7 linked regions of the Xenopus tropicalis genome follow. The protein of the gene in region 1 interacts with the protein of each later gene in a pairwise test. Links are inferred from orthologs where the notes say so. Each region holds a gene or a part of one and is shown in the gene's direction. Other genes may lie near its edges.

Region 1 (3,204 bases):
GCCAGGGGTTATGTTTTGCATTGGTGCCAGGGCAGGGACCCCCTAAAACATTGCTAGCCAGCCCAGGGACCCCTAAAACATTGCTGGTGCTCCCCCAGTGTCTTCATACTATGGCCTGCTCCCCCCAGCGTCGTCCTGCTTCCTCCGGCTTCCCCTCCAGCTGTGTCCTCTTCAGCCCATGAATCTGTCTTAAAGGAATACTGTCATAGGAAAACCATGATTTTTTTTTTTTTTTTTCCAAAACACATCAGTTAATAGAGCTTCTCCAGCAGAATCCTGCACTGAAATCAGTCTTTCAAAACCCCAGGTTATTTTATATTTAAAGGGGAAGGAAAGGCAAAGTCACTTGGGGGTGCCAAAATGTTAAGCACCCCCAAGTGACTTTAACCGCTTACCTTGTACCCCGGGCTGGTGCCCCTGTTAGGAGAAAATAGCACCAGCCCGGGGCACCTGGAGCGCAGCGCTTCCTCCTTCCGCCTTCCACTTCCTAAACTGCCGGTGGCCAGGCATGCACAGTAGAGCGAAAAAGCCGACTTAAATGTTTAAGTTCGGCTTTTCACTCTACTGCGCATGCGCGCGCAGCGAAGCCGGAAGGAGGAAGCGCCGGCAGCTACCCCGGGCTGGTGCTATTTTCTCCTGACAGCGGCACCAGCCCGGGGTAAAAGGTAGGCGGTTAAAGTCACTTGGGGGTGCCTAACATTTTGGCACCCCCAAGTGACTTTACCTTTCTTTTTCCTTTAAATTTGAAATTTCACATGGGACTAGCCATATTCTTCATTTCCTAGGGTGCTACAACCATGTGACCTGTGCTCTGATAAACTTCAGTCACACTTTACTGCTGAGCTGCAAGTTGGAGTGATATCAACCCCCTCCCATTTTTCAGATATTTTCAGAATATAATTAATTAAATTGTGTATCATTTCTGAAATAATCAAGTACTATTTTGTGTTTCCCTCTCAGCATCTGTCTCTCTTTATGCATGAGTCGGAGTCAGATTTTAATTGGCAGTTAGGTCTAATACATACTTTGGGGGGTGTTGCATTCTCTGCCCAGAAGATATATTAGAGCTCACTCGTTTCAAGTAACTGTCTAACAGAAATCCTGTTTCTCTACATGCAGGATTTTTGTAAAAGTCCATTATTTTGTTAGATTTTGTTTGTGCTGCAGTCAGTTTTTTTGAATTATCTCTAATACATCTGCTAGGAAGATGTATTTCCGGATAAGGAATCTTTCCGTACTTTGGATCTCCATACCTTAAGTCTGCTAAACTATTTAAACTTTAATTAAGGATTGTTTTGCCTCCAATAAGGTCTAATTATATCTTAGTTGGGATCAAGTACAGGTATAGGAACCGTTATCCTGAAACCTGTAATCCAGAAATCTTAGAATTGCGGAAAGGCCATCTCCCATAGACTCCATTTTAAACACATGATTCTAATTTTTTAGAAATTATTTCCTTTTTCTCTGTAATTATGAACCAGTACCTTGTACTTGATCCAAACGAAGATATAATTAATCCTTATTGGAGGCAAAACAAGCCTATTGGGTTTATTTAATGTTTAAACAATTTTTTAGTAATCTTAAAGCATGAAGATCTAAACTACGGAAAGATCCCTTACCCGGAAGACCCCAGGTCCCGAACATTCTGGATAACAGGTCCCATATCTGTACAAAATTTGAATAATTTTATTAAAATGAAGTCTATGGGAGATGGCCTTCCCGTAATTCAGAGCTTTCTGGATAATGGATGCCTTACCTTCTATGGTTCCCATGTTGTAAGTACTAAGCTGAAGCTTAAATTCCACATCTTTTGTTTATCTTACAGTAAACAAATCTTCAACAGTTTAAGGCTTGTGCCATACGGGGTGATTTTCAGGTGTTTTGCTCACCATGTTTTTTGCTGTGGAAAAATATGGGCCAGTTCTGCTGTTTTTTCAGGCAATAGTCCATTGATATGAAAACAAATGTTTTCACGTAAGAATTACCTGAAAGTGCCAGTTCTAGCACTTTCATAATGAGGTAAAATATAGGGTGCAGATGTTTTGTAGACTACAGGAAGTCAACTCCATGCTTCATTTCTGACACTCAATCCCGATATGTAATGTAAGACACTAAATGTTTGCCCAGGTGCAGTAAAGCGCTACCAATAAGATGTTTGCTTTTATACATGTGACCAGTAAATGCTACCTGCTGATTGGTTACTATGGGTTACTGCTCCAGGGCAAACAGTGCATTTTTTTACATAACCCCGAGGTTGTCTGAAACTGAGCAGGGAAACGCCAAGAAAAGCTTTTTGGGTACAGAGCTTAATGTAGCTGTCACTCCTTAGTTACAGATGTCCTGACCACCGCTCAATGGTTTAATTTTTTCCTCCTAAATTTCACAGGTCTCCCTTTTGTGATGAGATAATCAGCTGTCGTGGGGACCAGATGAGGCTTGCTGTTCGTGTACGAGTTTACACATATCCAGAAGCTGCTTGTGCTGTGTGGATTATGTTTGCTTGTAAATATCGTTCTGTACTATAACCTTTTTAGTAATATTATTGGAAATTTACTTGAATCAAACTTTTATATTTAACTAGAGGTGTGTGGATTTCAAAATTATGCTTTTATATGTTATTTATACAAACCATATCTTCTTACCATGTAATATTTTATTTTTATTTTTTTAAATAAAAATGTGTATGGGATTGTATTAAGCATGACCCCTTGCACCTTGATTTGAAACCTAAATCAAAGGTCATGCCTGTGCCATAGATTGCTTTCCATGATAATAATGAATATAATACTGATGTATTAATAGAACATTTAGGGAAAAGGTTATAAAAGTTTTGTAGTGTGGGTATTTGACCATTTAACATGCACAGCCTATGGTAATCAAGCTGTAGTGCAGGGGGCCCAAATAGTACAAGTAGAGCATTAAACTTCAAGTGTAGTATGGGATATCGCATACCAGGTATTTTTATCACCAATACCTTCAGTGGCAAAAAAAAAAAAAACTGCTGTGAATTACTACTTCTTTTTCAATTGATAGCTATAGTCAAGGACCAAGGGCTACTTTCTTAAACCAAACAATATAAAGGCATGCTTGAGACCTCACAACAAGAATGCAAGCAAAAAAACATTCATATCGTTCTACTACCCAAGAACTGGTTTCATCCTGCAACTGCGAGTCGGTGGCATAGTGATACTTCAAATTGCCAAT
Region 2 (3,500 bases), on another chromosome or scaffold:
GACACCTAGTGGTCATTTATCATATAACCTATTTATTAAACAAAGAAAAAACTACAGTCGGGGTCAAAACTAGGCAGCTGCCAAGCTGCTCCGGGACTGAAAGGGGACCTGTCACCCACACATAAATAGCTTTATAATAAAAATCCTTTAAAAAATATACTTGAAACCCAAATTATTTTTTTAATTTAATCATCTATACCTGTTATAAATGTATTTAAAAACCTGAGCCGTCAATCATATATTGATGCCCTGCCTCTATGCCTCAGGCAACTTTTCATTCAGCACTTTCTAGATATCACCTGGATGGCATGGTATAAGATTTTGGGGTGATGCAAAGCTTTCCTTAATAAAAGTGTACACATAATGGCGGCTGCCTGCTGGCTGTGACTGTAAATTCCAAGACTGAAAGAAAAAAAAATGCAATAATTTCTATAGTGTAAGTAAAGTTTATTTAGCTGTACCAACATGATACAAAAGGATTTGGAATAATTTCTTAGGGTGACAGGTCCCCTAGAAGGAATCAGTGGTGCTCTGGATTGCAGAAAATTATCAAAAAGAAAAACATCTTACATCTGATTCTTTCTTTTCATTGGAGCCTCCAAAAGCAACAAATATGAAGCTTTTCTGTGGTTCAAAACTTATAGCGCCACTGATTTTTCCTAAGTTCTGCATTTGTCAGCCACTGAAAACTCTGCAAGCATTAAGGGAAAAGAGAGCAACCTGATCTTATACAATGTACACTCCCCTTGCAAGTACTTGCAGGGAGATCCACTGAGACACCCAGCCCACACTCTTAAATGGTAGGACTAGTATGTTTTGTGCATTGTATTATCTAGTTAGCAGCATTAATACAGTGCAACTAAGTGCAATTAACACTCTGATATATCTCTTGCAGCCGTTGTTCCAGAACATTTACTATCCATTGCCATCTCTATCATTCAGCACACGTTCACTGAAGATGCCCGGATACCACTCTTCCCCTGTACAGTATTCATCGCTTCCCTATGTGGTTGCAACACTGCAAAGCACTGCTATGCCAACCTTTAGATTTCAGCCGCGCAGAGATGGCATCGACTGGAGGCGGTTCAGTGCCATTGACACTGAAAGAATCACACGAGAGGTAGACATAAACACGCTTCAGGAGAGCATTAACTCCATAACCTTCTGCAATCTAGAAGGGGAGAAGTGCCCCTACTGTCAGCAGCCGGTCGACCCTGTGCTCCTAAAGGTTCTTAAGATGGCACAAATGATCATTGAATACCTACTGTATTGCCAAGAGCACATACACAGCAGGGAGGCCCAGCTAGAGGAGAGATTGGGCGAGGCAGAGGCTGAACATGAGCGCACCAAGGATGAGCTGGCCAAACAGGCTGAGGAGATGAAAAAAGTCAAGGAGGAAAGCAAGAGAAGAAAAAAGATGATTGCTACTCAACAAATGCTACTACAGGCTGGAGCTAACAACTATCATAAGGTGAGTCTATGCAATGAATCTGACAGGCTTTTTTCTTTTGAGTAGTGTCCCACATACAGTGGAACCCCCATACTACGTTTTTCAGGAGACCAGGAAAAAATTGTGGAAAATCTTGGAAATGTGACAAAGCAACTCATTCTTCAAGTACTCAAAAGATATAAGCACAGGAGTCTGTTTTAATTTTAAATTAAATATTTAAACTAGGGTTAAGCAGTGCAGCATTAATGTTACACTATGGGGCTGATTTACTAACCCACGAATCCTACCCGAATTGGAAAAGTTCCGACTTGAAAACGAACATTTTGCGACTTTTTCGTATTTGTTGCGTTTTTTTCGGCTTCTTTACGAATTTTTCGTTACCAATACGATTTTTGCGTAAAAACGCGAGTTTTTCGTAGCCATTACGAAAGTTGCGTAAAAAGTTGCGCTTTTTTCGTAGTGTTAAAACTTACGCGAAAAGTTGCGCATTTTTCGTAGCGTTAAAACTTAAAAGGTGCAAAGTTTCGCGTAAGTTTTAACGCTACGAAAAAAGCGCAACTTTTTGCGCAAGTTTTAACGCTACGAAAAATCGCCAGATTTTACGCAACTTTCGTAATGGCTACGAAAAACTCGCGTTTTTACGCAAAAATCGTATTGGTAACGAAAAATTCGTAAAGAAGCCGAAAAAATCGCAAAAAATACGAAAAAATCGCAAAATACCGATCATTACGAAAAAAACGCAATCGGACTCATTTCGACCCGTTCGTGGGTAAGTAAATCAGCCCCTATGAGTGCAGGACGGGGCCAGTGCAAGACTGCTGACAGGCAGAGGCACATCCTAAAGCAGTAAGTCATTTGTGCATAATTGTATAAGGTGCAGACTCATTGGAATTGACTATATACAGACAGAACCATGACAAGGTTTTGGATTAAAATCCAGGAAAACATTATGTAAAATTGAGGAAAAACACCCATTGTGAAATGCATTATAAACTAGTGGGACCGCAAAATGCTGTGGAAAACTTAAGATCAGGGTATTTAAAATTGAGATTTCACTGTATATAGTATTATGCAGTTTTATTTTGGAAATCATTTGGAACCCCAAGACATCCTCAGGGGGATCCCAGGACATCATCTGGTGAACTTTCCTCCCACCACTTAGGACTCTGTAACTGCAGACGTTTCAATATACATCCCTCTGGCACCTCTTAGTATGAGTTATTGCTTGCATTTCATACGCTTCTTCTGGATCCACTTGGGTTTAAAAGTCTATAGTATGGGGGTTTCTTTTAAGTGCATTGGGGCTTCTTTTTGGGGGGTGGGGGCGCCAAGTGTTATGCATGAATTTCAGGAATGTTCCTTTTCACTTCTGTTTGCAGTGCCAGCTCTGTGATAAAGCCTTCATGAACTATTCCTACCTTCAGGGACACATCCAGCGCAGACACCCTGAAATAACAGAAATTGGTATGTTGAATCCTCTTTGGAGCATCATGTACTAAAGGGGTCCTAACTTCTAAACAGAAATATCAGAATGAGCTGCTGTGTTTGTTACACCGTAGCTATATACAAAAGAGTGTGAGGGTCCTTACTAGCCTCCAGCAGAAAAAGAATAGTGGGTCAATTTCCCCAAAATTAGGTAGTCACAAAAATAGATAAAATAAATGTAAAATATTTTCTGGAAGTGGGTGTCAATTATGAGGAGTTTTGCTATTGAACTTCACAGTAAAGTTCTTATATAATGCTGTCCACCAGTAGTGATTACAGCTTTCATAACATTATATAACTTGAAGGCTGAGAGTGTCTGCAGATCAACAAAGGATACTTGTTTGTGGAAATCCCACGTTTCCATGAATTTATCTACATTAATGTTCTTCCATATATGATGCCTGGAGAACCTTCTTTGATAGCTGGATATCTAATCTGCCCTAGAAACAAAACCTGCAAATATACCCTTGCACTGGGCTCTATAAATGTGTTGGGTTTCTATATCTTTTCTTAGAGAGACAAAAGAAGAAGCAGGTGGAGCAAATGGAAGATGGCATTGAGGAAC
Region 3 (3,947 bases), on another chromosome or scaffold:
TTCTATATTATATATAAAGCTGGCAAGCTTTTTTTTAATAATGGCTGCTGTTATAAAAACGATTGAGCAATAAAATAAAGGGCTGTTGTTACAATTAAGCAAAACACACTTTCCCTGACCGGGAATCGAACCCGGGCCGCGGCGGTGAGAGCGCCGAATCCTAACCACTAGACCACCAGGGAAGGTTGTATGTGAAATTGCCAGATTTATTTTTCCAAATCGCCAGTCAGTTCTAAAACCAGTGAAATACTAGTCCAAACCCACTTTGAAAGTAACCCAAAAATAGCCCAATGTGCAATGAAAAAAATTCTACAAAAATAAAAGTACATATGGGAAAACCTGCCTTTTTAAAGCATATAATCACTACCCAGTTACTGGAATGGCTGATAATTCCCTGCCCTCTGTGCCCAGTCCAGCTGGGAAGTCGCTACAGAAATAGATTCAGAATCTTGCATTAACCCCAGACTTATAAATATGGGTGCGTTCAACTACAACTCTCAGCAGCCCCAAGATAACTACAGACCTGCCCCCACATCACATACCCTATAGAGCAGGGAGCAGAACATACAGGTTGAGCCTGAAAGAGCAAAAAGGAATAGAAAACGGAGCCTCTGGCTAAACTGCCCAATTGCAAGCTGGGTATTGTAGTTTTATATTACTCCTAGTTGTAGGCTAATTGTTAGCTACAAACTACATTACCCAGCATGCAGTGGAACAAGCACACTAGGGGAAAAAACTGGCTAGGTTCCAAACTACAAACCCGCCAAGGCTCCAAAAACTAGTCCAAAACGGTACTTTGGCGGGTTTGTAATTTAAAAACAAACCAGGGCTTTAAATTAGTAGCCCAATTTGGCAGAAAAACCGCTAACCTGCCACCCATGCTTGTGAGAGCAATTTTAATGCGTAAGAATAGAGAGAGACGCGAACACATTTCTGCGCATGCGTCATACTGCTGCCAATGCGTACAACCTCTCAGCCCCGCCCCTTGTTTTATTAATTACTCCGTTTATTCCGTTACAGCCAATAGTGGGCGCATATCATTTCCCGCCCTTGCTTTCGGTTTTCAGGCTGACTACGTCGTCGGCAGATTAGTTAGCTTAATGGCTAAAAGCTTAGCAGGGACTTAACCAATGAGAAGCGCCGAGCTGACGGAGTGGTTTGTGTAGGCGGGGCTTGGCCTGACGCAGGAGGGAAAGATGGCGGACGAGGAGAAGCTACCGCCCGGGTGGGAGAAGCGCATGAGTCGAAGCTCGGGTATATGGAGTGTAGCGGGCACAGTTGTTATATAGAGTTAGTGCAGCGCTGGTTTGCTTTGTAGCTGTTCCTATTTTATTGTGTCTTGCACTGTGCATAGCGTCCTGATAAAGGTGCTGTTGCAAAGCTGCAGAACTACAATTCCCACTTTGCATTGCGCATTATAGTATTTAGTCGCCTGTAAACAGACTAAGAAATGCTAAGCATTGACTGCTTCTGCTACTGTATGGGGCCATGACTGGTGCCCTAGTATCTGCACCTATCTGTTCAGTGTCATTTGTGTCAGAGTTCGATCTGTTCCTGCTTAGATGCTGATGTGTCTGTGATTAACATGGTGCCTTGTGGCTATGTATTGTATGTATCCTGCTCGGGAATGGTCTTCAGTCAGGAGCCAAGCAGGCAAGGCCCTTCAGAGATCCTTAGTGGGGCCTAAATTAGTACAGTGGCCCCTGGGAAAGGGCCGTGGTATAGTAGGGAGAGATGGTGCCTATAGTAGCAGTGGGGGGATAATAGCCTCTGGGAAGGGACTGGGGCTGTGGGATAGCAGGTATAGTAGGGAGAGATGGTGCCTATAGTAGCAGTGGGGGGTAATAGCCTCTGGGAAGGGACTGGGGCTGTGGGATAGCAGGTATAGTAGGGAGAGATGGTGCCTATAGTAGCAGTGGGGCGATAATAGCCTCTGGGAAGGGACTGGGGCTGTGGGATAGCAGGTATAGTAGGGAGAGATGGTGCCTATAGTAGCAGTGGGGGGGATAATAGACTCTGGGAAGGGACTGGGGCTGTGGGATAGCAGGTATAGTAGGGAGAGATGGTGCCTATAGTAGCAGTGGGGGGGTAATAGCCTCTGGGAAGGGACTGGGGCTGTGGGATAGCAGGTATAGTAGGGAGAGATGGTGCCTATAGTAGCAGTGGGGGGGTAATAGCCTCTGGGAAGGGACTGGGGCTGTGGGATAGCAGGTATAGTAGGGAGAGATGGTGCCTATAGTAGCAGTGGGGGGGGTAATAGCCTCTGGGAAGGGACTGGGGCTGTGGGATAGCAGGTATAGTAGGGAGAGAGAGCCTCTGGGAAGGGACTGGGGCTGTGGGATAGCAGGTATAGTAGGGAGAGAGAGCCTCTGGGAAGGGACTGGGGCTGTGGGATAGCAGGTATAGTAGGGAGAGATGGTGCCTATAGTAGCAGTGGGGGGATAATAGCCTCTGGAAAGGGACTGGGGCTGTGGGATAGCAGGTATAGTAGGGAGAGAGAGCCTCTGGGAAGGGACTGGGGCTGTGGGATAGCAGGTATAGTAGGGAGAGACGGTGCCTATAGTAGCAGTGGGATAATAGCCTCTGGGAAGGGACTGGGGCTGTGGGATAGCAGGAATAGTAGGGAGAGATGGTGCTTATAGTAGCAGTGGGGGGATAATAGCCTCTGGGAAGGGACTGTGGCTGTGGGATAGCAGGTATAGTAGGGAGAGATGGTGCCTATAGTAGCAGTGGGATAATAGCCTCTGGGAAGGGACTGGGGCTGTGGGATAGCAGGAATAGTAGGGAGAGATGGTGCTTATAGTAGCAGTGGGGGGATAATAGCCTCTGGGAAGGGACTGTGGCTGTGGGATAGCAGGTATAGTAGGGAGAGATGGTGCCTATAGTAGCAGTGGGGGATAATAGCCTCTGGGAAGGGACTGGGGCTGTGGGATAGCAGATATAGTAGGGAGAGAGAGCCTCTGGGAAGGGACTGGGGCTGTGGGATAGCAGGTATAGTAGGGAGAGATGGTGCCTATAGTAGCAGTGGGATAATAGCCTCTGGGAAGGGACTGGGGCTGTGGGATAGCAGGAATAGTAGGGAGAGATGGTGCTTATAGTAGCAGTGGGGGGATAATAGCCTCTGGGAAGGGACTGTGGCTGTGGGATAGCAGGTATAGTAGGGAGAGATGGTGCCTATAGTAGCAGTGGGGGGATAATAGCCTCTGGGAAGGGGCTGTGGGATAGCAGGTATAGTAGGGAGAGATGGTGCCTATAGTAGCAGTGGGGGGGGGGGATAATAGCCTCTGGGAAGGGACTGGGGCTGTGGGATAGCAGGTATAGTAGGGAGAGATGGTGCCTATAGTAGCAGTGGGGGGATAATAGCCTCTGGGAAGGGACTGGGGCTGTGGGATAGCAGGTATAGTAGGGAGAGATGGTGCCTATAGTAGCAGTGGGGGGATAATAGCCTCTGGGAAGGGACTGGGGCTGTGGGATAGCAGGTATAGTAGGGAGAGATGGTGCCTATAGTAGCGGTGGGGGGATAATAGTAGGGAGAGATCGTTTGCAGCTTATTGGCCCATGTACAGTGCTGCATTCATAAGTAGCACTATTTACAAAAAAATTATACATAAATGCATGTATGGTGACGAGAACTGAATTAGTGCGTTTATGTTGTCCTTGACTAATGGGTCTGCATAGGGCCATTTTAGAATCTGCTTTTTATTGGCCCAGAAGCCAGTCAATCTGAACAATCCGATCTGGCTCAGATCAAATGAGCAGATATGTTAATGTATGAGTAACGCTATGCTATGAATTCTCCTGCTTTTTTTTTTATACCCAGTTATGGCTGCTTGTGAGTATAGACGTAAGCAGGGAATAAATGTTCTTTTGACATAGCAAACTTTGGCTTTACTTTACTGCCTGTGTACTAGATACTCTTGCTGTACTTTATAATCAATATAGCTGTC
Region 4 (3,500 bases), about 90 Mb from region 1:
ATCTTTGTGTGTCCAAGCCCAAAGCCCCAGGGGAGCCACTGTCACCCCTCCTGAAACAAGCACTGTCCATTCTCACCCCTGTGGTCAGTGTGGCACCAGCCCTGACAGAACCTCTGTACTACATGGCCCAGATTAAGTACCTATCAGGTAAGTGTAGATGGAATGTTCTATATCACATTATAATAATCCTTTGCCATTGTAGATGCACACAGAAAATACCCTGGTGGCACTATCCACCAATCACCTCTATTTCTTACAAATGAACAACATGTAAAGTAAGATGCACTGTATTGTTGGGCCAGACCAAATTTGATAGTAGGGTTCTGCATCATGTAAAAACAATCTCAAGGAAATGTCATCATTGTATTCATGTATCATTGTATAGATGTATGATTTATACATGGAAATTATAGCATTTCCACCGGACTTTGTCCAATGCTTAGTGCCTCCCACATACCGACATTGCAAACTGGGTGCTCCCAAGTTTCTTGGCAAAATACTCAGTAAGCATCACAAAAGTTACTGGGCCAAAATCAGGGTTCATGCCCAGCTTTGCTTTCTCCCTAATCAACAAAAAAAAAATATATGGGAAAAACAATGCATAGTGGGTAAAAAAACTGTGATTTATTTGTGTGTATTTGTGCCTCAGTTTGTAAATAAGCTTTCGTTTGTGCACCATTTCCTTGGCTTTGTACATACTGATCATGGTTAGAAACCCTGTGCTGCACTGATGAGCCCAGAACCAATGTGATCAGCGCAGAACACGGGCTGTGCTTTAATGCCAAGTGGGACAGTGAGCATCAGCTTATAGGGTATCCCATAGAAATAGATATGTCTGATGCATACATGACTGTAATCTGTATTACTGTATCATTTGCAGGAAATTTAGAGGGAGCCCAAGGAAGCCTGCAGCGCTGTATAGAATTAGACTCTGCTTGTGCGGATTTCCACCTCCTCATGGCGCAGATTCACTACGGCCAGGGGAAGTTTGCTGAATGTTTGGTGTCTCTTGAAACTGCAGTCAGTCACAACTTTAAGGTAAGCAGTGTACAGTACTAAACTCATATTGCAACAGTGGGCTCCCGGGGACCTTGAAAAGTAAAATAATTTGAGGAGCAACACAAGCATAAAAAAATATTTCCTGGGGGTGCAAAATATGGGCTTTAATTGGCTATTTAGTAGACCTTAAGGTGCCCATACACGGGCCGATTCTAGCTGCCGATATTGGTCCCTTAGACAGATTCGACAGCTAATCGGCCCATGTATGGGCACTACCAACGGGCCTGCCCGACCGAAATCTGGCCTGAAATCAGCCAGATATCGATTGGGCAGGTTAAAAAATCTAGTCAGATCAGGGACTGCATCGGCTCGTTAATGCAGCCCCCGAACCGTAGGATGGGTATATGGATATATGGATATATGATCCATATATCAGTCCTTGCACTCTAATGCAAAAATATATATCTTGCGGGGTGCACAGCCAAGTTTGATTACTCACTGTAAACATTTAATGACTGGCACACCCTGTAAAATTATCACAAGTTTATTGCGATAAACTTATATATATATATATATATATATATATATTCAGCTTGTAGACAGGCACTCACGTCATAGAGCAGTAGCCATGCCTGGGTGCAGTCCAAAAAGTATAGGAATAGTAGCAAATAGAAATGTCCTGCACTCACAAGTCTTATGTGAAGCAAAAGGTGTTTATTAAATCAACATCTACATATCTATATATATATATATATATATATATATATATATATACATTCCAATTGACAATGCGCACTCCTCATCCTTTATAATTCATTTATTGTTGCATTAAAAACATCAACGTTTCGGTCCAGGTCTAGGACCTTTATCAAGATGTTAAACCATGAAAAAACAAACACATAATGAAGCTTTATACAATACCAAAGTAACCCCTCCCCCCACAGCATAGCCACAACCCTACTCATTAACCCCTACCCTGCATGATCCATACAGAGATTCAGGGTTAAAGGGAAAACTATCAATGCACATAATAAACACCATTACTGACATATAATATCATTTTACCTCGTTGGTAAGAAACAATTGAAGGAACAATATTCATTTAGACCTCTTGGTGCCAAAGTATCCAATTTTTTAATCCAAAAGGTTTCCCGTTGGAGGAGCAGTCTAGACCTGTCGCCCCCTCGCTTTGGCATCGGAACATGGTCAATTGCAATATATCTAAATGTAGGTAATCTATGTCCAAACTCCAGGAAATGTTTAGCCACCGGTTTTATCGATTTATTGTCCCGATATGCTATATTAATGGCTGACCTGTGGGCATCCATACGAAGGCGCAACATGAGATCTGTTTTACCCATGTAGGATAACCCACATGGGCATGTAACCAAGTATATTACATGGGTTGTCGTACATGTAATGTGGTGACGTATCTTATATCGTTGTCCCGTATGGGGATGGGAAAAACTACCCCCAGGGGTCATAAAACGGCAGGACATGCATGAGGGACACCTAAAGCACCCTTGTTTGCCATTGGGTAACCAAGTAGGGGAACCTTTTTTAGGGAGGTAACACTTTACTGGATCACTCACCACTAACAAATCCCTCAGATTCTTACCCCTACGGTAACCAATAGTAGGTGGATTTGGACACAACCTACCCAATGTATCATCTGCCCTAATAATGGCCCAATTGGCTCTTATTACTTTCCCCAAATTATGAGTCACTTCATTGTAACTAGTGGAAAAAACAAGATTTACACTCTGATTGTTGTCTCTCTTACGTTTACCATTTACCACCTCCTTAGCTTTAGCTAGAGCCAATCTCAATACAGACTCATCGTAACCTCTTTGTAAAAATCTGGTTTTCATTTCCAATAGTTGTTGCTCGCATTTTCCTGCATCTGTAATAAGAGCCAATTGGGCCATTATTAGGGCAGATGATACATTGGGTAGGTTGTGTCCAAATCCACCTACTATTGGTTACCGTAGGGGTAAGAATCTGAGGGATTTGTTAGTGGTGAGTGATCCAGTAAAGTGTTACCTCCCTAAAAAAGGTTCCCCTACTTGGTTACCCAATGGCAAACAAGGGTGCTTTAGGTGTCCCTCATGCATGTCCTGCCGTTTTATGACCCCTGGGGGTAGTTTTTCCCATCCCCATACGGGACAACGATATAAGATACGTCACCACATTACATGTACGACAACCCATGTAATATACTTGGTTACATGCCCATGTGGGTTATCCTACATGGGTAAAACAGATCTCATGTTGCGCCTTCGTATGGATGCCCACAGGTCAGCCATTAATATAGCATATCGGGACAATAAATCGATAAAACCGGTGGCTAAACATTTCCTGGAGTTTGGACATAGATTACCTACATTTAGATATATTGCAATTGACCATGTTCCGATGCCAAAGCGAGGGGGCGACAGGTCTAGACTGCTCCTCCAACGGGAAACCTTTTGGATTAAAAAATTGGATACTTTGGCACTAAG
Region 5 (3,942 bases), on another chromosome or scaffold:
ATGTAAGCAATCTATTGATCGGGTCTGCGTTCTTTACGTCCCATCCAGGCGGTGCGCTCCGGCCATATAAAAACGTAATGACGACACACGCTTTCCCTTTCCTCTGTCAGCTGCGAGGTGAGGATATGGCGGCTTTATCGAGAGAGCTTCTGCAATCTCATTTCATCCTGGGAGAGAGAGGCTATTTTTGTCATCCGTTACCGTTTTATGAATGTGCAGTGTTTTCTCCCTCTCCCGATCTTTATATGTTGTCACTTTGCTGAAAGGGAGCGGAGGATAAGGGATATTTGTTGCCCGCCCCTAAGCTGCCTTGCAGTTTTCTAAGGCACTTTATAGGCTACGTGTTCCAAGGCCCCGACTAGTAATGTGGAAATTCTGCCAAATGCCACAGAGCTGTTATAAGTTGCCGGAACCCTGTAGAGGTCCCATTGGGTGCTGGAAATACTAGGGCCTGCTTTGAATCGCAGTCCAGGCTTTCCATGGAGCTTTGTGGTCTTATAATCATGAGAGATTTGAATCATTCTATTATTGCAAAGTGTTTTCAGTTCCAATATGTCTGTTTATATGGATTATACACTCCAGAGGCTTGTGGCCTGGCAGTGCCTAGTATGGCAGTTCAGCCATGGCTCTCTGCAGTAAGAGGGGTTTTCTTTTATGAAAAATCTTTTTGGGGTTCCACACACAGATGGTACAACTTGGTTGGGCTGTTTTGTCTCTCAGTGCAGCTCATAGTAGGCCTGGGACCCTTTCTTCTGGTGATCTATATCCCATCAGTTTTGTGGGGCTTCATTAATCCTGGGAGAAGGCAGCAAAAGAGGTGGATGTGTGTTTAAGGAGATTTCTACTTTTAGTGCTGAGCACATTGTGTTACTTTGCTTTTGACATACTGACTTGTATTTGGTGTTTGTCATAACTGTAAAAAAAAAAAAAAATAGCTGCAGCTTGTGGGGGACTTTATGGGGGAACTTTATGGAAGAATTCCCAGCATCCAACTGTTGGCATGGGATAAGTTTGTAATTTATAACACTGAGCCAGTTTGGGTAAATGCTTAATTTTAATAAATTAGGCTATTTCTGTGTAGCCCATGTAAATGTTCAAGGACTATGGCCTATTGATGTCAAACAAATGTCTGTCAGTGTGTCCATTTTTTAGGCGGTTTGTGATTGCTATATGTATAATGGTATTTTTTTTTTATATTTCTGATAGAATGAAGACCATTCTCAGCAACCAGATTGTTGACATCCCAGAGAATGGTAAGTTGTTCTGCTAATGACCCTTTTTGTATTTGCGCTTTCTCTACACGCTTCTGACTTACTGTCTCTTCATAGTTGACATCTCTCTGAAGGGCCGTACAGTTACTGTAAAGGGGCCCAGAGGTGTCCTGCGGAAAAACTTTAACCACATCAATGTTGAGCTGTGTCTTCTGGGCAAGAAGAAGAGGAGGGTGAGTAGATACATTTTTTTAAAACTGTTGAATAAGTTGTAATTGTGGGGGACAGGTGCTTGAGAGAGGGTAATGTCCAGGATGTAGGCATGATGGTGGGTTAGGTATGTTGGTGACACAGGTGTTAAAGGACATGGAAAGGCAAAGTCACTTGGGGGTGCCAAAATGTTAGGCACCCTCAAGTGACTTAAATCGCTTACCTTGTACCCCGGGCTGGTGCCCCTGTTAGGAGAAAATAGCACCAGCCCAGGGTACCCGCAGCGCTTCCTTCTTCCTGCTACGTTTTGCTAGGACCCCACGACCGGGGCATGCGCAGCAGAGTGAATAGTGGAACTTTAACAGAGAAGTCGACTTTTCACTCTACTGCGCATGCCCCGGTTGTGGGGTCCTAGCAAAACGTAGCAGGAAGAAGGAAGCTGCGGGTACCCTGGGCTGGTGCTATTTTCTCCTAACAGGGGCACCAGCCCGGGGTACAAGGTAAGCGATTAAAGTCACTTGGGGTGCTTAACATATTGGCACCCCCAAGTGACTTAGCCTTTCCTTGTCCTTTAAGGTACTAGTATTATGTTAAGTTTTATAGATTTTATGGTCCAATGTATTTTTTCTAGCAAAAAAAGTTATGGTTTTTTTGTATGTTTTATACTAGAATGTTTGGTTAATCCAGCTACAAAATAACATTCAAGCTGATCTATCCTTAAAGTGGCTTTACATGCTAAGATCCGCTCGCTTGGCGAGGTTGCAAATCAAGCAGGACTTATCCCTATATCCCCACCTATGGGTGGGCAATATCAGGCTAATTCGGTTTAGGACAACGGGTATGGGCGGCTGCCAGTTAGGGGACCGCATCAACGAGCTGATGTGGCCCCGATCCGACTAAATTTCAAACCTGCCCGATTTCAGGCCAGATGTCAGTCGGGCAGGCCCATCGTTAGTGGCCATACACGGGCAGATAAGCTGCCGAATCGGTCTAAGGGACAGGTATCGGCAGCTAGAATCAGCACCGTGTATGGCCACCTTAATAGTGATTGACCTGTTAATGTAAACTTTAGTGTGGAGCATATAGTGATTTTTTTTTTTTTTTTAAGCTGCATATGGCTAAATTTGGGACTGCAGGGAAACTTTTTCATATATATTTTTTTTAGACTGTCTTCAAGTCCGCCGCACTCCTTGTAGTCCAGTATTTGGTTAGGGCCTCACATAAGGTTTCAATGTAAGCCTATTATCCATAAGCATCATGTAGAGCAGACAAAAGTGCCTTTCCCAGGTTGGCCTTCAGGCTTGAGTAATGTCTCTAGATACTGATGTAGTTTGATTCCCCCCCCCTCTTCTCTCCACTCTTAGCTCCGGGTTGACAAATGGTGGGGTAACAGAAAAGAACTGGCCACAGTGCGCACCATCTGCAGTCATGTGCAAAACATGGTGAAAGGAGTCACACTGGTAAGTGGTGGTAACATTTTTCTCAGCGTAATTGGTTAGCTTTGTACAGGTCCAGAAGGCCTGCTGTCCTTATTGGATGCAAAACAATCCAATTGGGTTTATTTAATGTTTAAATGATTCAAGTAGCCTTAGCGTATGGGGATCCAAATGATGGAAACATCCCTTATCTGGAAAACACTAGGTCCCAAGCATTTTGGATAACAGGTACCATATACCTGTACTAAAGGCTCACTGATGTAATTACTGTCTGGTTATTATGTCAGTTATTGGTTGGTTTTATTTTTCAGAATTGCTGGAATTTCCTGGCAGGAAAGTGCAGATGTTTTATAAGGCATATTGCACACAGAGGAAAAAAGTGTCTCTGCAGACTGACATTAGAGTCAACTGCCTGTCATTTCTGCCAATATGTATTTGGGCTAAAACCTGTATACACATTAACAAGTGGTTGGTTAAATGTCAATAGCAGTTTGTGATGTGTGCCATAAGCCCACTAATTGTCACCTCTCACAAATAATTGCAATCAAGCATGTATTATAGTCACACTGTGTGGCTGGGTTTTATAACATTCAACAATTTGGCAGGAAGCTTTGCTCTATTCCCTCTTCATAATCAAATTTCTGCCTCTTTCTCTGACTACAGGGCTTTCGTTACAAAATGAGATCTGTGTATGCTCACTTTCCCATCAACGTTGTCATTCAGGAGAATGGATCTCTTGTGGAAATAAGAAACTTCTTGGGTGAAAAGTATATCCGCAGGGTTCGCATGAGATCAGGCAAGTGTAAAATCTGGACGCTTTCAATTCTCTGTGGCCTTTTGGAGTTTAAATTAGTTTAGAAACAAGCTGCTTGTTTCCCAGTGCTGCTGGTACTAGCAGAGAACAATAGACAAATCACTATACAAGTTTTTGACCGCTAATTGCTTGTCTGTTAAACTATTGCAACTGGTTATTCAGTTTGTGCTGAGGACATGCAGGGATATCCCTGGTATTAACCTTCTTTAGAGTTGATTCGCTGCAGCAAAGCAAAGACTCCTGCCTTCTCTCAACCTGCCAAGTTTGTCAA
Region 6 (3,480 bases), on another chromosome or scaffold:
CGGCATGACAAATCGATTGCGCAATTTCATCACGCGGGCTAGTCGCCGTGACTTTTCAAAAAGTCGTGCCGACTAGTCGGCCCATGTGTCTTCGCCCCTTATCGTCTGGCAAAAATTTATAACAATGTGTCTAATCAATGTCCCAAATGTAGAGCAGACGTTGGCACTTTGTTTCATGTCTTTTGGATCTCTCTGGGGCAAGGTGTTTACAATTTATTTATGATAAGCTAGCACTTCAAAATATTCGCTCTTCTGATCTGTGTCTACTAGGAGTAATTGCAGACCTACAACTTTGGTCCTATTCCAGATTATGCTATTTGCAGTTGCTTTACTATACAAAAAAGTCTACCTAAATGCAAATCACACGAACCTCCATCCATACAATTCTTTTTCCTTTTCTTTCTCTCTTATTTTCTATATTGTTTGTAATGTAAAATATGCAAAATAAAAGCTTTAAAAAAAAAAGGGGGGGGCCACATCCGGCCCACAGGCCTCCAGTTGGACAGCTTTGGTGTAGATTATGCACATTTGTGTAAATTGTTCAGCGTCACAAGCTTAAATGGTGAAATGAGCATCACATGCCCCCCCCCCCCCCTTCTTTCTCATGTGTGAGCTAGTTAGGGCACAGCATTTGTAGGCCAAAAATGCCCCACTTGAGAATAAGATTATCATGTTTTGTGTCTCTACTTTGGAGTAGGTGCCAGCAAACATGGCTATCAGGACCTCTTATTCACATCTACTAAGGTTCTGGTTAATTCTGCCAGCATATAAAATGAGGCAACCTGGACAATAAATATGTCTTTTTCTGACAACTGACTCATTATAGGCATATACTGCAGGCTACACTTGACTTTACTTGCATTGATATTAAGAATATGAGATATCAGAGCAAAATATTCAAGACTTCTGCAGCCTGACTGCTTTATTTCTGACAGGTGGTGCAGCATATAAGGAACGCATTAAAACTGGAAACAGAGTCAGTGAGCCACTTGCTTCCAGGGGAGTTTTTATTTCATCACCATTTATATGGCACCAAAATGATATGCTGTGTTTGCTTTAAAACTGTATTCTAACAAAACAAGAGATACCCAATAAACAGAAAAGGGTTGATTAGAGGGCTCTGTTCGAAGAGCTTACACACTAAAGGAAATACTGAGATAAGAAACTCATACCTTAAGTATTATATTAGCAGCGCTCATAACAAATAAAAATGATCAACAGGCATGAGTCACCTCAGATGGTTGCAAACACCAATCATCAGTTAGTCACATAATCTCGTTGACCAACTATATTTGCTACTCAACACCGTATCAGCGATATTGCGCCTAAGCCCCGCCTTCTTCAGGATTATTGCCCTATCGTGTCACGCTTTCCCCCAACAATCAGAGGTCACCGCTCAAGGGATTCTGGGAGCCTGTAAATCGGAAACAGATGAAACGTTTCAGGTTGTAGGTCGTTGCGATTGGCTGACTCATGTTGATGGGCGGGACAGTGTGGCAGTAGAAAGCGGCATGTCTGACACGGGTGGTTGGAGGGTATGTGAGGTTTCAATTAGTAACTGAAATTAAATCTGGGTGTTCAGTATTCCCGAAGTAATCTAATCTTGGGTTCATTCTAATGCACCTAAGGCGGTTTTTTCAGGGTTTTATGATAGCAACGCTGTAAAAGAGCGCACCATATTGGGACGGATTGTTACTAAGCCCTGCAGAAAATCATTTTATATTCCCTCTTTATAAACATGTGGTGTTGAAACTGCTGCCATTGCCACTGAGCGCATTCCTCCAGCAGTCAGGGGCTGCTTCCTTGGGGTCTTGTTACAGTGTTTTTGTCCTATGCAAAATGCTGCCTGTGTAGCTGTAGTATTATGGTGGGACATGCAGTTTAATAGAGAAAATATCAGTATTTGTATTCAAGCTTGTTTTGGGATATATTTTTCTTAGAACTGATTTATTTTTTAGTATTTACAGTAGTTGCAATACTGCTTGCAGTGAGAAGATACTTGAAGTTGCCTAATCTGTGGGCAGTGAGGAAACTGCATCTGCAGCAGTTGATTTATCTAAGCCATTTTGTCAATACTGGATTTAAACTTGGTAAGAAAAGCCATAAATGTGTATTTTTGTTTTCTTAGTAATCTGTGATTGGCCTTTTTGTATCCAATTAGCCACCACGTGACTGTGATGATTATTGGTCTGAATGGAAACACTGCAAGAGTCTGAGAAACCACTTCCATAATTATTACACCCATGGAAAAGCACCAGAGTGCCAGGAATGGAAGAGAGACTACATGACTTGCAGGGACTGGGAGAAAACAAAGAGTGAGCTTCTAAAGGTACAGCAGACAAATGGGGTAGGACATAAGCACCACAAGCTCCTGCACCCCCCCCTTCCTTCTGCAAAAGGGGTGGGAGTATGGTCACAATGTATTCCAGGCGGGAGGAGCAGGCTGGGCTGGCTTTCCTATTTATATTTCAAGTTTCTCATTCAAACTGTTGCCTAGTTGCTAGGGTAAACTGGAACCTAGCAACCAAAAAGTTAGATAATGAAAAAAGTACAAACAATTAAGCCCAATTGCAAATCAGCTCAGTATAGATATCACTATCTGTGTCATACTAAAAAATACTTGAAAGGTGAACTTCTCATTTAATGTTTGGCTGAGGACTTGCCTACCTTTATGATTTCTGTGATTGGATTTTATAACTTGCAAAAAGCAGAATGCTACAAATTGGGATTCCCTGGTTTACATCATGAGATTTGTTGTTTAGCACTGTTTTTTAGGTTTGCTGGTGGCTAAGTGCACTAAGACCTGATGTAATGATTCTTTTAATACAGGAAACTTTGCAACAGAGTGAAAGGACAAGGCTTGAAGGCAAGCGGAATAACTCACCCGTATGGACATTGAGAAAAAATCCCCCACCAGACTGGTATCTGCCACTAGATGATAGAAAACCTAGACAATAAAGAATTATGTATTATAAAAGAAGTTGTTGCGTTTGTCCTAGTTAAGCAAAGATGATAGTATAACTTGCAGAGTGGCAAGTGCTATTTTGCTTATTTTTTGAACGCCATTGTGAGATACTGTCGCTTTTAAAGTGGTAAGATGACTTTCCCCCCATAACCCATGTCTCTTCTGCAATTAAAGGAAATCTATGCCCCCAGAATGCATATGTAACCAAAAGATTATATTATGTTAAGTGACCAATTAAAGAATCCCTGCAAACTGGAATATATATATATATTATAGTAAATATTGCCCTTTTACTTCCTTTCCATTGATGCACCATTTAGTGATGGGCTGTGTGCTCCCTAAGATCACATGACCAGTATGGAAGCAAAAGGCAGAACTCTGTCCATTAATTGACTGATGTGACCTAGCAAGTATGTGTGCCTTGGCTTGTTTGTGTGCACTGTGAATCCTATGATCCCAGGAGGTGGTCCTTAATCCTTAAAGGAGAATGCAAGTCAAAATTTAAAAAGCATACT
Region 7 (4,060 bases), on another chromosome or scaffold:
TTGGCCCACGGCGCATGCTTGTCCCCGCTGATTGCGCATGCGCGCACCCCCCGTGCGCCTGCACACTACCGCTGGGGGGGGGGGGGGGGGCGTGGGACCGGGGACAGCCTGGGGGCGGTGAGTTTTGAAATCCAGCCATGAAACCAGCACCATATATTATTTGGAATTGCCTACAAAATTAGGTTTTTTTCCCATTTATCCAGTATGTCTCCTTTAAAAAATGATAATGCATCATCCATTGTTATTTGCAAGAGTCTTTTATAAAAGCACCTGGCATGCAGTTTTATGTTTTTATATGGAAACAAACTCCTGTGTGGCTTCTAATATTGTTTTGAATAACAATAGGGCAGGCCCAGGTTGGAAATCTTTGGATTCTGGCAAATGTCGCCATAGACAGTCACAAATGATTGCGCTTGTGGTGGGGGCTGCTTGGGCCTCTATGCACCTAAAATACCAGGGCCTATTTTGACTCCCAGTCCAGAGTTGCAAAAGGGGATACATTATTTACTATATTACTACAAAAACCATACTGGGGCAACCCTGTTATAGTGGGCCCAGGAACACAGCATAAATAGTATTGAATTGAATTTATAATAGGGCAAGAATGTGGCTTTGAGGTACAACTCCCAGCACTCTCAGGGAGAGTCCTATGTCATACAGATAACAGGGCCTCGCAGTTTTCCTAAATATTTATTAACTTCCCTCACATATTGCAAAAGCCAAATACCAATAGTTAAATACAAAGCTTAGGGTGGTTATATGTACATTAACAAAGAATTTTAGCTGATTTTCCTGCACTGCATTACTGCGTGTGTATTTGCCTGCTTATAGAATAGAAGTTGCTCTGTGTCAATATACATACACGTAGCGACTTTAGTCAATGCCCTTCCATAGAATAGTGAAGAGTGAGGCCCCGTTGAAAGCGCGTTGTAGCTAAAGCCCACACTGCTGGCGGAGAGAGCAGCACACGGGTTAAGTCTCACCTGGCTGCTGGCTACTCACGCAGCGCTCAGGCTCCTCCCTTTGTGCTCTGATGGATTTCCTAGCTGAGCTGCAGCTTTGAAGCCTGCGGGCGGTAGGACCCGGTGGTCATCTGGAGGCAGGGTGTAAGAGGCACAGAGGGAAACCCATAGACAGCGGCTGGAGAAAGGAAGAGAAGGCAGGAGGGAGGATCGCTTTGGGCAGGGGAGGAAGAGCCATTGCTCACTGTGTGCAGGGGAGGAAGAGACAGAGACGGGCACACACACAGCTGATGCACAGGAGAATGATCCGAGGCTGAAGACTGCAGAGCCGAGGCAGTTATCCTGCAAGCGGCAGCAGTACCCACATCCCAGGGTGGCAGCAAGGTGACAGCAGCAGCAGCAGCAGCAGCAGCACTACTCTCCTGCCAACCATCAGCAGCAGCCGGTTCCTCCCATCCCTCCATGCAATCAATGGGCTGAATCTGCAGCAGCAGCAACACTACAAGCAAAAGCAGCCTTATCCTTCCCCACCTCCTCCTCCCACCCTCTCCCCCTCTGTGTCTGCTCTCCTCTCCTCCCTTCTTTCCTCTCCCTTCCCTCTCCTGCTCCCCTCGGTGATGGTGAGGCTTCAGCTGGCTGTAATCCACCGCTAGGCCCCAAGCCCCCCTCCCAACTCGGTGGCTGCCCTCCTCTTCCAGACTCAGCTCAGTAATACCTCTTGCATCCATGTAAGTCAAACCGCCCGGCACTTCCATTTCCTAACCTTTGTCTTCCACCCTCTGCCAGCACCCACGCCCTTTTTTTTTTTTCTTCTTCCATTTATTGGTATAATCCTTTAACCCTTTAGGTGTCAGAAAGCCTCCCCCTATCGATCATTGCGCAATGCACCAGGGGGGCCTTATGTCACTGACAGGGTTAAAGCAGGACAGTACCTAATACCCTGAGAGGCATGGGGGTGTTGGTCAGTGTTACAGCCCTGTCAGGGCCTGGCGTTGTTTAGTGCTCTGCAGGAGGGGTAGCGGTAAGAGAGCAGCATGCAAACTGCAGCTGATGCAAATGCGCCAAAAATCAATCACATCCCAGTAGTCTTGCTACACAAACTGCCTGCAGGGCAATGCTGTCGCCTTCAGTGCAACCCAGGATGTGTATAATGTTCCTGTTGTGTAGATGTGTGTATGTTTGTTCATAAACAGTGTTAATTTCCAGGGAAGGGCTGTGGCTGGAACTATGGCTGCTCTGCAGGGGGGCTGGCAGCATTGCTTTTTAAAAAGATGGCAGGAAAACATGTATGTATATATATTTATATAAAGATGGTAGAAATGTGCTGCATTTGCTTCTTATCCAGTCTATATACTCAGTTGTCCAACATGTGGCCCTCTGGCTGTCATAAGATGGCAACTCTCTGACATCCACCGCAGCGGAAGGCTGTCATAGGCTGCTGGGAGTTGTAATTCACTGACAGCAAGCAATGCTACAGGTCGGACACCCTGGTGAAATCTAGTAATATCCCCCTTGGGCTGTAACAAAAGCTATCCTATTGCACTAGCATTTCTTTTGCTTACATCTCTGAACAAGATAGTGTTTTACTTCTAGACTGTTGTGTTATGTATGTAGTCTGTTACTTGCTGAAACTGATGTGCTCTTTGTGTGTCCCCCCACCAAACGTGCCCACTTCCTGTGTACATGCTCTAATGTGTATGGGTGTGCTGGCTGAGTTTGACACTTCCTCGCTCTGGCCTGAGCAATCAAGTACTGTGGATTACTGTTGCTATCCAGACTTCGAGGAATATAGCAGTATTGTGAAATTTGTTTACCTGAAAAATATATATATATGTGTTCAGTTAAAAGTAGGTTGCAGTAAGCATGTGGTTGGCATTTGGCAAGTTCCCCACAGTAACTTAGCACAACAATTAACCCAGTCGTTATTGTGATGTTTTTCTTAGGCAATGTATTTTCCAGTAATGTTTCTCGGGGTTTATGCGCACATTAATTTCCAGCTGAATAAGTAATAAGATGTTCGCTCATGGTTTAGCTAGATTAGTATTGCAGGTACAGAAATCCTGTAAAATCAAGAAACAACTAGATTATTTGCATCAAAAAACAGTTTGGTTGTGTCACAAGTCCAATGCTGTGTGTCACCTTTATGTAGTGCGCTAAATTAAAAAAAACAAAAACAAAAAATTTCATGACATGTCCTTTCTATGTGCAGTCATCTGGATTTTATTCAGTGTCTGCTATTGCAACAATGTAAAAAAAAAAAAAAGAGTATAGGTTAATAAACTGGGCCCCGATTAACTTTTGCTACTATTTTTTATAAAAAAAATTAAATAAAAAAAAATTGTAGTTCATTGTTCTTCTAGTGATCAGTGAATGAAAAACCAAACTGCTGATTTGATGCTGGTTTGGGAGACCAAACTCTCTTGAATGCAGGAAGCAACTAAAAACATGATCATGCTGCTGGGCTAAATAGGAGCCGGTGCAACTGACCTGCATTATTTATAAGCATCCTGCATTTAAAGGTAATACCTTCTCTCCTTACTCTTAACTAAGCAGAATATACAGTAGGTAACTTGTATGCTAAAGCCAATGTTTGACTGTAAACTTATCTGTGCATTTGTATAGTGTAACCTTTCATTCTACCTATAATATGTATTTGGCTTTGATTTTATATTGTATTCCACTTTGGTTCAGGTATATTTCTCTGAGCATGCACATATACAGAAGTTAGATCACAAATATATTTAAAGAACATATAAAAATAGTTTTTTGAAGTTTATTAGAAATGTTTATGCTATATTGTTGTAGGATAGTGTTGGGCATAAGGATAAATTAATTCAGAAAAAAACTTTGTATGACATGTCTCCCAAGTATATATCCTTGAGGTTTGACGCCTATTCGTAAATAATCTTAGGTTCAACTGCACTGCATTATTGTAGGGAAAGCAACAGTAGGCAGTGCTTGGAAAATGCAGAAAACAAACAAAATAAATCTGAAAATATAACTAAATCAGCATTTCAACTCCTGTACAGAGTCTGTGGCAAAACCTCAGTGTAGGAAGCAGAATATTGGTTTGTTATGACTTTTGTGTCAAGTACTTG

What was found.
Region 2: the proteins of cep76 (region 1) and dzip1l interact in binary tests that used the Homo sapiens proteins (3 or more experiments, as listed by UniProt). The link is inferred for Xenopus tropicalis from reciprocal best matches to the Homo sapiens genes CEP76 and DZIP1L.
Region 3: the proteins of cep76 (region 1) and pin1 interact in binary tests that used the Homo sapiens proteins (3 or more experiments, as listed by UniProt). The two-hybrid records come from large-scale screens. The link is inferred for Xenopus tropicalis from reciprocal best matches to the Homo sapiens genes CEP76 and PIN1.
Region 4: the proteins of cep76 (region 1) and ttc21a interact in a two-hybrid assay, tested with the Homo sapiens proteins (2 studies listed by BioGRID). The two-hybrid records come from large-scale screens. The link is inferred for Xenopus tropicalis from reciprocal best matches to the Homo sapiens genes CEP76 and TTC21A.
Region 5: the proteins of cep76 (region 1) and rpl9 interact in binary tests that used the Homo sapiens proteins (3 or more experiments, as listed by UniProt). The two-hybrid records come from large-scale screens. The link is inferred for Xenopus tropicalis from reciprocal best matches to the Homo sapiens genes CEP76 and RPL9.
Region 6: the proteins of cep76 (region 1) and c22orf39 interact in binary tests that used the Homo sapiens proteins (3 or more experiments, as listed by UniProt). The two-hybrid records come from large-scale screens. The link is inferred for Xenopus tropicalis from reciprocal best matches to the Homo sapiens genes CEP76 and C22orf39.
Region 7: the proteins of cep76 (region 1) and akt1 interact in binary tests that used the Homo sapiens proteins (3 or more experiments, as listed by UniProt). The link is inferred for Xenopus tropicalis from reciprocal best matches to the Homo sapiens genes CEP76 and AKT1.

The regions. Positions count from the first base shown.
Region 1 is NC_030682.2:103,546,531-103,549,734, forward strand, and holds the end of cep76 (centrosomal protein of 76 kDa), read left to right. Parts: intron 1-2,386; coding exon 2,387-2,525; 3' UTR 2,526-2,704; downstream 2,705-3,204. UniProt on the Homo sapiens protein: Centrosomal protein involved in regulation of centriole duplication. Required to limit centriole duplication to once per cell cycle by preventing centriole reduplication.
Region 2 is NC_030681.2:131,745,447-131,748,946, forward strand, and holds part of dzip1l (zinc finger protein DZIP1L), read left to right. Parts: intron 1-895; coding exon of another isoform or gene 896-1,033; coding exon 1,034-1,471; intron 1,472-2,829; coding exon 2,830-2,914; intron 2,915-3,449; coding exon 3,450-3,500. UniProt on the Homo sapiens protein: Involved in primary cilium formation. Probably acts as a transition zone protein required for localization of PKD1/PC1 and PKD2/PC2 to the ciliary membrane.
Region 3 is NC_030679.2:136,780,425-136,784,371, reverse strand, and holds the start of pin1 (peptidyl-prolyl cis-trans isomerase NIMA-interacting 1), read left to right. Parts: upstream 1-1,147; 5' UTR 1,148-1,196; coding exon 1,197-1,254; exon of another isoform or gene 1,255-1,290; intron 1,291-3,947. UniProt on the Homo sapiens protein: Peptidyl-prolyl cis/trans isomerase (PPIase) that binds to and isomerizes specific phosphorylated Ser/Thr-Pro (pSer/Thr-Pro) motifs.
Region 4 is NC_030682.2:13,387,662-13,391,161, reverse strand, and holds part of ttc21a (tetratricopeptide repeat protein 21A), read left to right. Parts: intron 1-17; coding exon 18-147; intron 148-880; coding exon 881-1,038; intron 1,039-3,500. UniProt on the Homo sapiens protein: Intraflagellar transport (IFT)-associated protein required for spermatogenesis. Required for sperm flagellar formation and intraflagellar transport.
Region 5 is NC_030677.2:36,148,172-36,152,113, reverse strand, and holds the start of rpl9 (60S ribosomal protein L9), read left to right. Parts: upstream 1-1,142; 5' UTR 1,143-1,177; coding exon 1,178-1,253; intron 1,254-1,328; coding exon 1,329-1,444; intron 1,445-2,785; coding exon 2,786-2,881; intron 2,882-3,520; coding exon 3,521-3,653; intron 3,654-3,942.
Region 6 is NC_030677.2:154,205,640-154,209,119, reverse strand, and holds c22orf39 (UPF0545 protein C22orf39 homolog), read left to right. Parts: upstream 1-1,451; 5' UTR 1,452-1,511; coding exon 1,512-1,535; intron 1,536-2,161; coding exon 2,162-2,329; intron 2,330-2,829; coding exon 2,830-2,958; 3' UTR 2,959-2,980; downstream 2,981-3,480. UniProt on the Homo sapiens protein: Negatively regulates long-term potentiation and modulates adult synaptic plasticity. Stabilizes the interaction of RTN4 isoform A/Nogo-A with its receptors, inhibiting clustering of postsynaptic AMPA receptors at synaptic sites.
Region 7 is NC_030684.2:99,749,721-99,753,780, reverse strand, and holds the start of akt1 (RAC-alpha serine/threonine-protein kinase), read left to right. Parts: upstream 1-1,260; 5' UTR 1,261-1,346; intron 1,347-1,600; exon of another isoform or gene 1,601-1,690; intron 1,691-1,830; exon of another isoform or gene 1,831-1,983; intron 1,984-2,021; exon of another isoform or gene 2,022-2,248; intron 2,249-4,060. UniProt on the Homo sapiens protein: AKT1 is one of 3 closely related serine/threonine-protein kinases (AKT1, AKT2 and AKT3) called the AKT kinase, and which regulate many processes including metabolism, proliferation, cell survival, growth and angiogenesis.